2 linked regions of the Kluyveromyces lactis genome follow. The protein of the gene in region 2 binds, or shares a complex with, the protein of the main gene of each other region. Links are inferred from orthologs where the notes say so. Each region holds a gene or a part of one and is shown on either strand. Other genes may lie near its edges. The genes, in order: TUB2 and STU2.

Region 1 (3,631 bases), on a different chromosome or scaffold from region 2:
CTATTGTGAAAAATTTATTTCTTTTTGTTCTTGGTATGTTTCGTTGATCTGTGAAATGATTGATCAGGCCTGGGGAAGAGGATAAGTCATTGAAACATTCACATACTACTGTGTTGACATCTGAGTCAAATATATCATGAAGAATCACGTATTATAATGTGAAGACTAAAATTATGTAGTAAGATATGATATTATTAAAAAAAAATAGAAACAAATACTAAAGAAATGTTTTGGGTCACATTGATAGTACATATCATTGAGCAGAGAAACAAAAAGCATATAAATTATAGTAAGGGTGGTATCATATTTCGAAATTTTCCGCTTCTACTAGTGGTGTGGGGAATAGTATTAGAATAGTAGAAGTAACGAAAGGAAAACTATAAGAAGAAAGAAAATATCTTTCTGAAGTACATTGTTTATTGTTTATCTCGTGTCCAAATAATTTGCTTTCAGTGGTACTGCTCTCAAAATGATAAACTTATCTTCTGTACACATCTGATCTTTGTTCCTTATTCCTTTTTTTTTCCTGCTGAAGTTTTCCTTTATATTCTTTACTCGAAGTTTTCAGCCATTGGTTGTTCGTCAACGAATTCCAATTCTTCGTCATCTTCAACAGTAGCATCTTGATATTGTTGGTATTCACTTACTAAGTCATTCATGTTAGATTCAGCTTCAGAAAATTCAATTTCTTCCATACCTTCATTAGTATACCAATGCAAGAAAGCTCTCTTCTTGAACATAACACTAAATTGATCTCCGACCCTTCTGAATAATTCTTGGATGGATGTAGAGTTACCAATGAAAGTAGCAGACATGTCTAAGTCCTTTGGAGGTACAGAACAGACGGCTGTTTGCACGTTGTTTGGAATCCATTCTACGAAGTACGACGAGTTTCTAGTTTGAACCTTATGCATTTCATCTTCAACTTCTTTCACGCTTACTTTACCACGGAAGAATGCAGCAACAGTCAAGTACCTTCCGTTTCTTGGATCAGATGCAGCCATCATATTTCTTGAATCGAACATTTGTTGGGTCAATTCTGATACAGATAGGGATCTGAAAGATTGGGCACCAATCGAGGTTAATGGAGCATAACCAACCATGAAGAAGTGTAATCTTGGGAAGGGCACCAAATTCACGGCCAATTTTCTTAGATCTGAGTTCAATTGACCTGGGTAACGTAGGGATGTAGTGACACCAGACATGACACTTGAAACTAAATGGTTCAAGTTCGCATAATCTGGTTGTGGTAATTTTAGAGTAGTTTGACATATATCGTAAAGGGCTTCATTATCGATACAGAAAGTTTCATCAGCGTGTTCGACTAATTGGTGTACAGATAGAGTGGCATTGTATGGTTCTACAACGGTATCTGAAGTCTTTGGGGATGGGACAACGGAGAAAGTAGCCATCATTCTGTCAGGGAATTCTTCTCTGATCTTAGAGATCAACAAAGTACCCATACCAGAACCGGTACCACCACCAAGGGAATGGGCGATTTGGAAACCTTGCAAAGAGTCACAACCTTCAGCTTCACGTCTGACAACGTCCATGACAGAATCCACCAATTCAGCACCCTCAGTGTAATGACCTTTAGCCCACACGTTACCTGCTGAAGATTGACCGAAAATGTAGTTATCTGGTCTGAACAAAGTACCAATCTTAGAGTTACGTACAGCATCAATGGTACCAGGTTCCAAATCAATGTTAACGGATCTTGGAACCCATTTACCAGAAGAGGCTTCGTTAAAGTAAACGTTCAATCTAGCCTTTTGAATATCATCGATACCGTGATAGTTACCTTCAAAATCCAAACCGTGTTCACCACAAATAGTTTCCCAAAACGCAGCACCAATTTGGTTACCACATTGACCTGTGGACAAATGAATGATCTCTCTCATGTTTTAGAATATCTCTGAGCGCGTTATTGATCTGATCTCAAAAAATGACAATTGAAGAAACACAGCACAGGCAAATTGTAGAAAGACTTGGTGTTGATACAATCGAGGGGTATCTATAATCCAGTAATTGTTGATCCTTGTTCTTTCAAGAAAAAAAAATAATTATGCGATCTCTCTGTCCTTTACAAGAAAAAAGTGAAATATAATATGGGTAAAAATAGTAGTCTTGTCCACAGTATATTAAACAAACAAACTAACAAATCGAAATAGACGAGTTCTCACAGCTGTTATCTATAAAGTTATCTCTAACCCGTGCAAGCCTGTTCACAATCACGTCTGTGTTCACTTATTTAACCACTTTAAATTGTTTATTTATTTGTTTTTATTTGTTTATTTTTTTCCTCCTTCTCTTTCCTCATATCTTTGTTTGTATTTTGATCTTTGTTTCACTTCTTTAGGCAATTTTCGAGCACGTCTATTTCCCTTTGTGGGTTGCTAAGTGTGCGGGTAATACGGGAAACGGAAACTTACATCGCGTGATTTGCACGTGACTGTGATGTGTGAATTCCTGCGTAGTGTCAGTTCATCTAAAGACAAGAGTTGAGGTTGCAAGTGAGCAACACATTCCCCTAAGATTTAGAATAGTTGTCGAAGTGTTCCATGAGTCCAAAGACTGAACAGACTATTTTCTCGGATCATTTTCTTCACAGCTGACTTTCCGTATATGATAGAATCATACGGAAACTGGAATACTGCAATTTTCCCTAACTTTCGATTCTAGCTGACATTTAAAGACGATGTGAAAATTTAAAGAGAAACGGATTTCAGGATTAGGAAATTTAAAGAGGGAAAAAACGTCCAGTACAGTTTGTTAAGAGAAGGAAACCTATTAGTTGGAGAAGCGAAAGAGGGTTTGACTAGTTGGAATTGATCTGTCCAGTGCTACATTTTTATGTATATAGTAATCGGAAGGTTACTTTGATTAAGCTACGGTATTCTATTTCGAACCGAATCGAATCGGATCAGGTTAGCAGGTCTCTTTTTTTTTTTTTTTTCTTATATTTTTGGCTATCAATTGATTAACTGATTGTGTATTGAAGACGAAAGCTGTTTACATATTTAGCTTTTCAAGGTGTTTTTGTCATCGTTGATTGTGAACTCTTAACTTAGCGGCTCAATAGCAGTTGATTATCTCGTCTCCAAAAGAACTTTCGTGAGTTAGTTACTAAGGTTTCATTTTAAAGGTTTTCTTTTCAAGAAGATGTCTGAGGGAAGTGGCAATGGCAGTGGTAATCGTTATTCCAATGCTGCCGGTCAAAATGGAGGCAACAGGCCTGCTCAGAGACCTGTAGCCCCTCTGAGTGCTGTGTTCCGTACGAAGTTGAAACAGCCTCAGTTCTATTGGTTCCTTGGTCACACGTTATGCTTATACTATTATATCCAATATATGCTCTCATTCCGAGAACAAAGTGTAAAGACAAATTACAGGAAGATCATGCTATACACAGTGATCAGTTATGGGATTGTGCTTCACCAATATGTGAAATCAAAACAGTTAAGATTCCAGTGGTCGAATTTAAAACAGCAGATCAGACAGTTGGATAACCTACAATATTTTACACTTTCCATTGTTCTTTTGATATGTTCTCTATCAGGAGGGAAAACTTTAACTCAAACTGAATCATCTATGGTTATATACTCTTTGTTCCATGCATTGAATTATTTCAAAG
Region 2 (4,584 bases):
CCTGTAAAAAGAAATACCTCAGCTGAATTCCAGTTTACACGAATCCCTCACAGAGATAGAGTTGTATTTGTCTGGGATACGGCTTGGAGGATGTCTGCTTTGGCTGTTGTTAAAAATCGCATCAACTGATCCGAGGAATCATCAGTGGGAACGACGTGCATGGAAAAGAAACGTGCTGAGAGTGATGGGCTTAGTTGCCGTTATTTGCATTTTGAAATGCATATAACGGTGTATCTTCCCTCTAGTTGCATATCTGGAATATCTGACGATTTTCGGAGAATTTTGGAGAAAAAGAAACTTTTCGGAAAAACTAGGAGGCTGCACCAGAGATAAGCAGAGAGAAGACGTTGCTATATATTACCCGGGACAATATATGCATTCTAGGTCATGTGACTGGAAGCTTCCCTCTCTGGTTGTCATGTCGGAGTTTGCGCTCAATTCGTCGTTTATACAGGAATCTATTTTGTACATAGTGGATTCTCTTAATCTACGCCGAGATTGTTGAAACCGGACCTGGATTTGGCCCTCATTCTTTCTATACGTGCCTTTAATTGGTTCGTAACTTCTGCAGCTCGTTTCCACGATTCCTCTTGCAACATATGGTTGTTCAAGTTTAGGGAATTGACACGTCTAGGTAGATCGTCGCTACTTTCACTAGGCGATCTGACCCTTTGAGGAGTCGTAGCATTTTTAGTAGATCTCAGAGGTGATAAGGTAGTTGCTGTTAATCTTCCTCTGCTAATGGACGAGGATATGGGTGAATCTGTTGACATGGTATCGGAAGTACCGCCCGTCAGTTTACTCTCTAACTCCTTGATCTTTAAATTCTTAGCGTTCAATTGATCCTTCGAATCCTGCAATTGCCTTTGTAAATTGGAAACGTATGTCTCAGACTCGTTCAAGAGTTTATTTACTTTGGAAAGTTGTAAATTGGATTGATTTAAGTTGGATAAGAGATCGTTGCGCTCCCTTAGCCATTCTTGTCTCTCTTGTCTTAATTTGTTCACTTCATCGTTTAAATGTGACATTCTGTTGGATATGTTTGTCTGTGGTGTGAAATTGCCAGAGAGGCTTGTGTTGGAACTGGTATTAGATTTGGGTTGTGTTGAGGAAGGCAGATCCGTATGGTTCATCATTTGATGAGTAGTTAGAGACCTTGAAGTCAACCTGGACGACTTCGTGTTGCCATTCAAGGCAGAGTTACGTGCCGGTTTCAATGGAGAAGTGGCCAGTCGTTTTGAAGGGATCGTTGAAGACAAGGGTTGGGATCGTACTACTGGTGCCGCTGATCTTAATTGGGTTTGCGGTTGGGTTTGGTGTGGAGGTGGAACCGTTGCCGCCTTGATCTCCACTTTATCAACAAGTTCAAGGATCTTCTTCCTTTTCAAGTTATCGAGCTTGTCCAAATATGTTGATAGTTCTCTTTCATCGAATATCTTAATTAAGATAGCAATACACTTGAAACCCTCATTTCTTGTTGCCTGTTGATTGTCGTTTACAATGGGCTGCAAAGAATTGAGTATCGCTGGCAAATTGGAGAATACCGACGTTCTATGAAGAGTTTCAGTCGGTGTCCAATTGGATAGCAACTCGAAAAGAAATTTCGAGCATACAATTTTTACCTGTGGTACTTTGTTCTTCATGTGTTGTAACACAGACTCGAGACATAGCTCTAATTTATAGTACTTTGAAAGGTTCAGGAGAGCATTGAAAATAGAATCTGCGACGTTTGGTTTTTTCTCCTTTGATCTAGTTAGGAGAGCGTTTAAAGTTTCCAATGCGAATGGGTTATATTCTGATCTTAATGCGGATATTAGTATATCTAAACTGCTGGTAGATATTTGTACTGCTTGTAGGTTTGCATCGGAAGTGATAGTCGAGCAAAATTTGTGAATGATTTCAGAATGATCTTCATTTGATGCTGACAATTTTTTAACCTTGGTTAAAGTCTGATCGTGGAACTCTTCTAAAGCTTCCACTCTATCCTTCCATTTGCTAGACGCCAAACTCTGATAGAAATTATTCGGTAGCTTATCTAATATAGTTTGTACGGGGAACATATCATATGGATCGATTGATTGGTTATCCAGAGCAGCGGCAGACTGGCCGTTATTACCTGCCATTGCTAGATCTCCGTCATGATCCAAGGGTAAATCAGTTGAATTGTTATCACTCTGAGCCGGGACTGCCCATATAAACTGAGACGGTGTTGAAGAAGGCGGTATAGTGCCCTGGTACGATTCAAACAGTTTATCCAGGTCCTTCTGTTGTATGGGCTTCAACTTCCCCAATAGAAGCTCTTGAAGTACAGGTTTATTAAACCATGTATATAGTTGTAAAATCAACTGCATTGACTCATTCCTCACAGATTTATCCGCATGTGAGCAAAGTTTAGGTAAAACTTCCACTAGACCCTGTAACGATTGCATCTTCTCCTGTTGAGAAACGTTCACGAACCCAAACTGCTCTATCAACTTTACATGAACCATTAACGCTGCAGTCAACAGCTTCGGTAATTTTTTGGTCCAAATCGGCGTCAGACAATTGATTGCATTTACGATATTATCATCCAATGACACGACAAGCGAAACGCAGGCCAATGAAGCCTCTTTCGTCGCTGATTTCGAGGAAGTCATACCTTTCTCCACCAGAGCTGGAACCCAGCCCTGAACCAATTGACCCGGCTGACACAAATCTCTGATCTGGGGTACGTCGATCATAAATTTCAACAAACTGTACAAGGCCTTAACGGCAGATTCTTGTGCAACAACATTGGAATCCAATACGTACCCCGTGAAAATCTCAGGTTTCTTCCAATACTTATTAACGCCACTCTCTGCAACTCTAGCAACGGACAGTTTATTGAATGTGCTTTCTAGCTCATTATATCCATGCTGTCTTGCCTTCCAAAGCTTATGAACAAGTCTCTCATCTAGTGACAGAGTCTGAAAAGACGCCGAATCATCCGTAGCGTTATCCATGGGAGATATACACACGCGATACAGCTGGCAGCACCCTGTGTTGACTCACTGACCGTCTATTTTATTCATGTTGTCTCGTCTGTTTGTTTGTTTACTGGTTGATTTTGATTGTTTTTGTTTACAGAAACGATTGATTTCAAGTCATGTGATATATCACGTGACTTTGTTGATATGCTTTGGATCGGGTTTGCAGAAACCTGAATAATGGGAGGGTAGGATCTATTATACACGTACACGCCCCTCCAATCACTCAATCGGCGCTGATGCGTGTTGGTTGAACATTATACAGTCAATTCAAGCCATTCAAAACACCGTTACACGAGTGTTGGCGCTTCCACCTGCTTACAAATGGACGGGTTCTAGCTGATTCCAGCTCTCGATTCCTGATTAGCAAGCAAAAATTTGTCAAAAACTCGATATTTAACCAACATTATTATATAAAGGAAGTAAGATACATTTAAAGGTTATTTAGTTGTCTCTTCGATTGATTATCGGATAATCTGATAACTTTCTATCCTCATCAAATAAGGTACAATTTATCTTTACTATCCCCTCCAATTTCATATATAATGGTCGCTCAACTTACTTCCGCATCCGAATTCGAAAAGGCTTTGACTGACGACAAGTTGGTCGTCGTCGACTTCTTTGCCACCTGGTGTGGTCCATGCAAGATGATTGCCCCAATGTTGGAAAAGTTCGCTAAGGAATACGAGGGTAAAGCTACCTTCTTGAAGGTTGACGTTGATGAGTTGCCAGATGTTGCAAAGAACAACGATGTCAGTGCTATGCCAACCCTAGTTTTCTTCAAGTCCGGTAAGGAAATTTCTAGAGTCCTAGGTGCTAACTTGGCTGCTATCAAGCAAACCATTGCTGCTAACGTGTAAAATTTTTTGTACACTGCTTATAATATACATTTTACTATATATATATCAGAATAAATTCTTTACATTTCTATTCTTTGATCATGGTTTCTATCTCCTTCTCAGTGTGCCCCAGGATGTATAGGACGTCTATCATTGTATCACTGTTTAACTTACATGGGGCTTGTTCTTGGACCTTTGGCTTGGCGTTCCATGCGATTCCGAACCCAGCTGCGGCCATTGCGTTCAAATCATTACCACCATCTCCGACCATGACGGTGGATTCGATCGGAGAATTGTACTGTTCTGCAAGAGCCACCAACGTCTTGGCCTTGCGCACTCCGTCAACTATATCGCCGAGTGCTTCACCGTTCAATTGTTCAGTACCGTCATCCGACACTTCCACACCCAGAGTATTAGCCAATGCAAAATCGAAGTTTAACTTTTCCTTAATGTAGTTAGCAAACGGGATGAACCCACCACTTAACACTGCCAATTTACAACCTTGGGACTTCAACGCCCTCGATAGCTCTGGGACACCCTTGGTGACTCTTAATCTAGGTTTAATTTCATCGTATAAGTGTCTCGTTTGAATTCCCTTCAATAATTTCACACGTTCTCTCAAAGATTGACAGAAATCGATCTCATTATTCATGGCACGGTCCGTGATCAATTTCACTTGAGGTTCCACATCCGCGTATGCGGCAATCATCTCGATGACTTCTTGGTAAATCAAGGTTGAA

The links.
Region 1: the proteins of STU2 (region 2) and TUB2 are in contact, whole or in part, in a crystal structure (PDB 4U3J), measured with the Saccharomyces cerevisiae proteins. The link is inferred for Kluyveromyces lactis from reciprocal best matches to the Saccharomyces cerevisiae genes STU2 and TUB2. Residues at the interface, in NP_013146.1 of Saccharomyces cerevisiae: Ser339, Trp341, Arg344, Ala384, Asn385, Ile386, Gln387, Lys425, Lys427, Lys428, Lys469, Thr470, Pro471; in NP_116616.1 of Saccharomyces cerevisiae: Tyr106, Thr107, Glu108, Ala110, Glu111, Asp114, Lys154, Glu157, Pro160, His195, Ser400, Glu401, Gly402, Glu407.

The regions. Positions count from the first base shown.
Region 1 is NC_006040.1:454,710-458,340, forward strand, and holds TUB2 (beta-tubulin), read right to left. Parts: upstream 1,902-3,631; coding exon 552-1,901; downstream 1-551. Other genes in the region: PER33 (Per33p), read left to right, coding at 3,163-3,631. UniProt on the Saccharomyces cerevisiae protein: Tubulin is the major constituent of microtubules, a cylinder consisting of laterally associated linear protofilaments composed of alpha- and beta-tubulin heterodimers.
Region 2 is NC_006041.1:1,460,367-1,464,950, forward strand, and holds STU2 (Stu2p), read right to left. Parts: upstream 2,982-4,584; coding exon 483-2,981; downstream 1-482. Other genes in the region: thioredoxin TRX2, read left to right, coding at 3,551-3,865; SER2 (phosphoserine phosphatase), read right to left, coding at 3,933-4,584.